Mus musculus: one gene and its partner. The protein of the gene in region 1 purifies or fractionates together with the protein of each later gene. This does not show direct contact. Links are inferred from orthologs where the notes say so. Each region holds a gene or a part of one and is shown in the gene's direction. Other genes may lie near its edges.

What was found.
Region 2: the proteins of Cd9 (region 1) and Itgb1 purify together in Homo sapiens (co-immunoprecipitation; 5 studies listed by BioGRID and IntAct, with this or other methods). This does not show direct contact. The link is inferred for Mus musculus from reciprocal best matches to the Homo sapiens genes CD9 and ITGB1.

Annotation. Positions count from the first base shown.
Region 1 is NC_000072.6:125,459,489-125,463,798, reverse strand, and holds the end of Cd9 (CD9 antigen), read left to right. Parts: intron 1-39; coding exon 40-114; intron 115-1,373; coding exon 1,374-1,472; intron 1,473-1,595; coding exon 1,596-1,685; intron 1,686-2,489; coding exon 2,490-2,573; intron 2,574-3,072; coding exon 3,073-3,138; 3' UTR 3,139-3,533; downstream 3,534-4,310. UniProt on the Homo sapiens protein: Integral membrane protein associated with integrins, which regulates different processes, such as sperm-egg fusion, platelet activation and aggregation, and cell adhesion.
Region 2 is NC_000074.6:128,709,473-128,713,287, forward strand, and holds part of Itgb1 (integrin beta-1 precursor), read left to right. Parts: intron 1-780; coding exon 781-1,003; intron 1,004-3,735; coding exon 3,736-3,815.

The DNA of each region.
Region 1 (4,310 bases):
TGCTGGAGTCTCTCTCACCACGTCCTTTGTGTCTTCTAGTTCTTCGGGTTCCTCTTGGTGATATTCGCCATTGAGATAGCCGCCGCCGTCTGGGGCTATACCCACAAGGATGAGGTAGGTGTTTCCATAAGTACACTTGGGTCCTACAGTGATTTGAGTTTCTGAGCTGGGAAGACGGAGAACAAAGGGTCCAGGCTAGTCACTTGCTGGGTTTTCCACTGATCACACCTCCTTATCCAGTATGTTTCCATGTAAAAGCAAGACAAACAGTCCTTGGGAGTGGGAACGTGGAGCTTAGCCTGCCCTGTGTGGCTAGCACCATAGTTACCATTCAGAACGTTTTTGGAAACCGTTTGTGTGTGTGCCTGTCTGTGGGCCTGACAATCACAGCTAGACAGCCCTTCCCCACTGCTCCTAGAAAGGTTGCTCAGAACAACATGGCTTTCTGTAATCAGCAAAGACTCGCTTTCTCTAATCTGTAAATACATACAAGTACCACACCAGACACTATGCAAGGTCCATCCCCAAGTATCCAGGTTCCGGGTCTCACACTTTGAGGAACTTTGCCATCTAGTGTGGAAGAAGGATGTTAGACAAATGTCACACAAGTCATTTATAACCAAAAATACGTTGAGATTTAAAGAAGGTGAGGGTGGGCCAGAGCGTCTCTTCCAGTTTATAAGGAAGTAAGTGTGGATCTAGACCTTGAATGAGATAGGGCGTCTGGAGGGGGAGAGGGGGGCAGGAGTGGGGAACTTCTGGGCCAAGGAAGGGTGCTGACCATGTGAGTTTGAGTTTCTCTGGTGAACTCTTTAAGGAGTTGTAGGCCAGGCTGGAACACAGTGCAACATTTAAAAAAGCAGGGGGGCTGGAGAGATGGCTCAGTGGTTAAGAACACTGATTGCTCTTCCAAAGATCCTGAGTTCAAATCCCAGCAACCACATGGTGGCTCACAACCATCTGTAATGAGATCTGACGCCCTCTTCTGGTGTGTCTGAAGACAGCTACAGTGTACTTACATATAATAAATAAATCTTTAAAAAAAAAAAAAAAAAGCAGGGCCGCTTATATTCTTCAGTGGGAGAAGAAGGAAAGGAATTGATGTGGGATCTACATTTTCAAAAAACTACCCAACTGATAAGAGAATTTACGAAGGGATAGAGGCTGGGGATTCCCAGTGTCACTCCATCACCTCAAAAGAAACTTAGCCAGGCAAGATGGCAGACTCCTGTAACCTGGGCACTTTGGAGGTCGAAGCAGGAACAGTGGTGAGACAGATGGTACTGGTGGCAGTTAGCCAAGCGCTTGAAGGGTATCCGTGAAGCAGTTTTTGAGAAACCCATCTCTGCTCCTGATTTGTCTGTCCCTCATAGGTGATTAAAGAACTCCAGGAGTTTTACAAGGACACCTACCAAAAGTTACGGAGCAAGGATGAACCCCAGCGGGAAACACTCAAAGCCATCCATATGGCGGTAGGTCACCTCTGTACAGAAATCACTCGCCCCTCCAGTACATCCCCGCGGGGTATCCGCGATCATACCTCTTTTAACTATCTCTTTGTTTTTCTCATCCTCATCCCTGCCTTCTCTCTAAAGTTGGACTGCTGTGGCATAGCTGGTCCTTTGGAGCAGTTTATCTCGGACACCTGCCCCAAGAAACAGCTTTTGGAAAGTTTCCAGGTTAAGGTAAACTGAGAAGCAACCCTCTGGCATGCTGCCCTGCCGCTTAGACAAATCCCTGCAAGGGCTTGGGTGAATTTAGCAACATTCTTCCCAGGCGGTGAGAAACAAAGGCCAGATCAGAGACAGAACAAAATCCCCTAGCTCCTGCAGCTACAGACACCTGGGGCCGTGCACACTGCCCAAGTCCCAAGCCTTAAAGAGCAAGCAGATCCCAATCCCGTGGAGGGTATGTCTGCTCCTACGGCTTTAGAAACAGTTCCCGGTCAGTCCGTTCTCCTTCATCCAGAAGGAGAATTATAAAGTGACTCTCTACAGCCACATGGGACTGGACCCAGAGGGGCCTCTTTGAGTGGCAGAATGCTTGCCTGGTGGATGAGGCACCAGGTTCCAGCCCCAGAACTGCCAAAAAGAGAAAAAAAGGGTGGTTGTGGGGCTGCTATCACAAGTTGACTCGGTGGTGAGAGCCCTTGCTCTTCCAGAGGACCCAGCATCGCATCTGCGAATCACCTGTAACTGCAGTCCCAGGGGATCGAATGCCCTCTTCTGAGCTCCACAGACACCAGGCACAGATGTGCTCATACACACATGCAGACAACACTCAGTGTAAAAGTATATAGAAAGAAAAAGAGAGACCTGAAACCTCCCGCTTCTCTGTTCTCAAGTTTAGGGTACCCCCTATATCTCTCAGTTCCCCCTCTGGCCGTGAGGCCTCCCAGAATGATACAGGAATCAGCAAATCACCAAAGAAGAGGTGCACAGCTAACGTGAGAACTGTTGCTTACTGTGTGTCTCGTTTGCCTCCCTAAGCCCTGCCCTGAAGCCATCAGTGAGGTCTTCAACAACAAGTTCCACATCATTGGAGCAGTGGGTATCGGCATCGCCGTGGTGATGGTAAGTGCCGGGTAGTCCGGGGAAGAAAGCCATGCCTGGGCACTGTTAGAAGTGCTGTAGCGTCAGAAGCAACCCTGGCTATCCTGGGCAGGTGGATACCGTCAGTATTTCTTTCTTACTATTAGGAAGTGGGAGCTCTTGGGCTGTGGCTCAGAGGCAGGGCACTTAGCTGGAATGGGCAAGGCCCTGGGTTTCAGTCCCAGCCCAGCAAAGAAAAGAGGATGGAGAGAGTCCTAATTTGCATGCTGTGTTGGAAACACTGAAGTTAAGACTTAAAGCTGCATTTTTAGGGTCTCACCCTGAATATTCTCTAAGGAAATATCTCGGCAGCTGACTGCCGGAATCCGAGTCCCTGCCATCCTTCCTGTTATCTGGCCTTCATATCTCCTACACCAGTATCCTTCCTAGACCTTGCTGTTGCCTTGGGCATTTGTCTTGGCCTGGGTGATGGTCCTTCCCCTCAGGTCAGGCAGACCACGCCCCCTTCCTGTCTTTACAGATCTTCGGCATGATCTTCAGCATGATCCTGTGCTGCGCCATCCGCAGGAGCCGAGAAATGGTCTAGAGTCTGCCCAACCCCGAGCAGGAACAACGGCCCTGAAGACTGTCCGGGCCATTTGGGTTTTTTTTGCCACTAATATTAGTATTCATTATGCATTTCTAAATAACAGTCATTCTGTTTGTCTTTTTAATGCTTTATTCATTATTGACATTTGTAGTTGAGGGATCCGGGGGTTCAATTTATTTTGATTTTTTTTTTTGGTTGTTTATTTTTGCTTGTTATGTTAAGCAAAAATCCTGCAATGAAAGGTACTATATTTGCCAGACTCTAGACATAAGATATTGTACATAAAGAGAATTTTTTTTGCCTTTAAATAGATAAAAGTATCTATCAGATAAAAATCAGGTTGTAAGTTATATTGAAGACAATTTGATACATAATAAAAGATTATAACAGTGTCTCGGGCTGATTGCTGGTATTGCTTTCTAAATTAGTTTTTAGAACTGCTTGGGTCAAAGGTATTTTTCAGGTTTTTTTTTTTTTTTTAAATCTGTTATCCTGTCTAGCCAGGCATCATTCTCTCTGTAGATCAGGCTGCCCTCAAGTTCCAGGCAGCCTTCCAATCTCCCAAGTGCTGATATCACCCCTGTGCACCAGCCCGCCCACCTCTTTCAGCTGTCTTGTGTTCTTTGGGCAGTAGATGAGAAGTAGACTGGAAGGTAAGTCTCCTCATCTACTAGTAAGGGACCCGAGGCGTGATAGATTGGGAAATTCTGATGACCTACCCGAGGTCACAGTTTTAGTCCACACTAGGATGAGTCCCCAGCTCAGCAGTGTGTGGTGTCTTGGGCTCTGCTGAGTCTTTGCTATACTCATCGTTGTACCTCTAGCACCAAGACCTTGGTAACCAGGCATAGCCAGTGCTCAGTATGGCTCTCCATGAAGAGTCCTTGGTTGAACAGCTGGGTATCATGAAGAGTCCTTGGTTGAACAGCTGGGTATATATCCATCGGGATTTAATGAAGGAGACGGAACCACTCTAAGATACGTGCACGCAGAGCTTCATCTCAGGGATCTGCCCCTACACAGACCCTGGGACTAGTTGAGTGGGTAGAGGAGAACAAGAACCAGCTGGCAGTGTCAGGCAGCCCTGTGCCAGTTCTTGTCTCTGACACTGGCAGAGTCTTGCCTAAGCTGGACCGTCCGCAGCAGAGCTGAGCTGAAAAACAGCTTCA
Region 2 (3,815 bases), on another chromosome or scaffold:
TTCTGGCCTCTGTGGGTACTGCACACATGCGGTATAGGGATGTCCATGCAGGCAAGACACTCAAACAAATAAGATACAATTTAAGAAAAACAATAAAAATATCTCATTTAGTAGCAAGCATTTAAAAGATTTAGTAGCAAGCATTTAAAAGATTTTTAGCTCGTCAGTGATGGCACATGCATTTAATCTCAGCACTGGAAAGACAGAAACAGGCAGATGTCTGAGTTTGAGGATAGCCTGGTCTATATAGAGTTTCAGGACTACACATAGAAACCTTGTCTCAAAAAAGTTTTTATTCAGGAAAGTTTATGCTATGCTTTACACACACACACACACACACACACACTATTAATTGGGATGTATTTAGGCTAATGTGGTTTTCTTAAACGCCTAGTTGTTTAAAATGCTTTGCTGGGAAGTCCTTCAAAGGACTTTTCTAAGAGAAAATAATATTGTCTAATGTGTGGGCTTATCCATAATTAGGTGCTGCTAAGTATGCCAAACACTGAAGGATGTAGTTAGTATTGACATACTCTGAATTTGAAAGGTGAGGCTTCTAAAATATGCATAAAGCCTGGGGAAAGATAGGACTTTTTCAGTTGGTTTTACTTGTTTTTGTGTAAGAGCACACACATACCACGTTGTGGATTTTTGTTAAGAAGCTAGAAACGAACTACCTTAGATTAAGTCATTTGATTTTTGTAATTTGTTTACATGCAGTAAAAAACATCAAAATACTTGCTATACTTTTTTTGTTGATGTATTTTATATTTCATTTAGACATTTTTGCAAGAAGGAATGCCTACTTCTGCACGATGTGATGATTTAGAAGCTTTGAAAAAGAAGGGTTGCCAGCCAAGTGACATAGAGAATCCCAGAGGCTCTCAAACTATAAAGAAAAATAAAAATGTCACCAATCGCAGCAAAGGGATGGCAGAGAAGCTCCGGCCAGAAGACATTACTCAGATCCAACCACAACAGCTGCTTCTAAAATTGAGATCAGGTACCTCTATCCCTACCTGAGTTTTCCATAGCAAGTTTATACAAGCCTTTTCCCAGTCTTTTGATGGTTCATTTGGGTGAACTGGTACCCCAAATAGGGCATAAGTTAAATTTTAGAGGACATAACCTCTTTTTGTTGCTTTTTGCTGTCCTGGAACTTGCTCGGTAGACCAGGTTGGCTTCAGTCTCAGAGATCTGCTTGTCTCCTCTTCCCAGATGCTGGGATTAAAGGTGTATGCCACACTTTTGATTCCTGGCCACAATTTTTGTAAGACATATTACTTTTAATAATTTAATGATAGAGATTAAAGTTAAGAGTGAAATGTTCTCTGTGTAAAGGCACTGCTACACAAAGGTGAGTAACGATCTAGTTTTACTTTAGAGTTGTAAAAGGAAGTTACAGAGGTGAAGTCATAATTACAAAAAGATCAAGGAAAAAAAGATGAAGCCTAAACTGAAAAATGAGGAAGGCGAGAGAGGTAAAAGTTGTTACATGTTATTTACTTAAAAAGCACAGAGCTGGAAGGCAGCTTAGTGGTAGAGCATCCATCTGTTAGTATAATTTCATAATATAAAAGCAAAGTTTTACTTATTTATTTAATGTATATGAGTACACTGTAGCTGACTTCAGACGTACCAGAAGAGGGCATTGGATCCCATTACAGATGGTTTGAGCCACCATGTGGTTGCTGGGAATTGAACTCTGGACCTCTGGAAGAGCAGTCAGTGAAAAGCTAAGTTTTAATCCATACATCGTTTAGTACCATTTAAATACTAACGATTTTATAAGTGCTCATGGCCATCCCACCTCTGAAATAGACAACATGCCCTCTTTCTGCCTGTCATCCTTCCATCCTGTTACTGCTGCCTGGCTAAACTTCAGCCTAGGAAATAGACATTGTTATAGTTTGAATGTGAAATGTCCCACTTAGGTTCCTGCATGCCGACTTTTGTTCTTGGCTTGTAGTGCTGTTTTGGGAGTCTGTGGAGCCTTCAGTTGCTGAGGCTTGACTGGCAGAGTGTGTGTCTCTGGGGGTGGGCTTTAGTTTCCTGAGTTGCCAAGACATAGAGTGCTGTTCCCTCTTGGTCCTGCTCTAACTTCTGTGACCTTCTTGAAACTGAGCCAAAAATAAATCTTCTTTCTCCTAAGTTGCAATGTCAGGAAAAGTACTTAGTACAGACTTCTTGTACATATACTGTAGTGGAATACTACTATCATTCTTTGACCTGCAGGATCCTGATCAGGACATTGATTATGTATTTGCCTAAGTCACATTTTATTTTAATCATCATTACTTAAAAACATTTTTTAGGTTTACTTATTTTTTATATGCACATTTTGCCTGTATGAATACATGCATATGTGCACCGTGTATGTACCTGGTGCCTGCAGAGGTCAGAAGTTATCAGATCCCTTGGAACTGAAGTATGGTTATGAGCTGACATATGTTAGGAGTTGAACCTGGGTCCTCGTAAAAGCAGCAAGTGCTCTTAACTTCTAAGTCATCTCTAGCCCCTCGTCGTTACTCCTACTGTGGGGAGCTTGTAAGAGGCTCTCTTCTTAAACTTAGGAGTCCATGTCACTGCTGGTTTTTCTCAGTTCCTTCCATTGCTTCCAATTTCCTTTTTGTGTTTTCTTCCTTTCATCCTTCTGCAAATTTAGGTAAGACTTGGTTTTCCTCTCATCATCATTGGAAATCATCATTCAGCAATGACATAAGCTTTTCCGTTTAGCTCTGTACCTGTTCTCCAGCTGCCTGCCAGGAAGTCAGGGAAAAAAGATCGTTTTTCATCTAAGCAGACCTTCCATTTTCTCCCATGTTTGTGTTTTATTTTGTGGTACTGGAGATAGAATTTAGGATCTCTCATGTGCTGGGCAAATGCTCTACCACTAAGCTGCCTTCCAGCTCTGTGCTTTTTAAGTAAGTAACATGTAACAACTTTTACCTCTCTCGCCTTCCTCATTTTTCAGTTTAGGCTTCATCTTTTTTTCTTGATCTTTTTGTAATTATGGCTTCACCTCTGTAACTTCCTTTTACAACTCTAAAGTAAAACTAGATCGTTACTCACCTTTGTGTAGCAGTGCCTTTACACAGAGAACATTTCACTCTTAACTTTAATCTCTACCTGTCTAGAATGTACCTTTCATTCTGCCAAAACTCATGGTGTTCTGATTTTCTCATAAGTTTTTGTGTAAATCACCTTGTGGTTACAGTAACAACTACTTGAAATACATGTAAAAAGAAAAGCTTATTTTGGGCCATAGTTTTAGAAGTTTTCATCTGACGGAGTGGCCTGTTGCTCTGAGCTTGTGGTGATGTGAGATGTCATGGTGGGGCATCTGGGAGATAAGACAGAAAGGAGGTCCCATAGACTCCAGGGCACATCACTGGTAACCCAAACCTCCTGCTAGTCCTTACCTCTCAAACTTCCCACTGCCTCCTGAAAGTACCAACACATGGGCAGATCCAAACTGTAGCAGAATTATTTGTATTTTGTGGGTTGCTGGAGAGGGCATTGCCTTCATCATTTTTGCCTCCTTAGGTCTTGGAGTTGTAAATGGTTGGTTAAACGAAATCAAGTGTGCCTGTTGAGGCGCTAACAAAATTCTTAGATTTGGAAAAAATATACACTTAAGACTATATCATTGAACATGTAAATTGGACTTACTTTTTTTCTCATTTTATTTTGATTACTGGCCATCTAATTTCAGTTTTGAATCTTGTTAATTAGGAGAACCACAGAAGTTTACATTAAAATTCAAGAGGGCTGAAGATTACCCTATTGATCTCTACTACCTTATGGATCTCTCC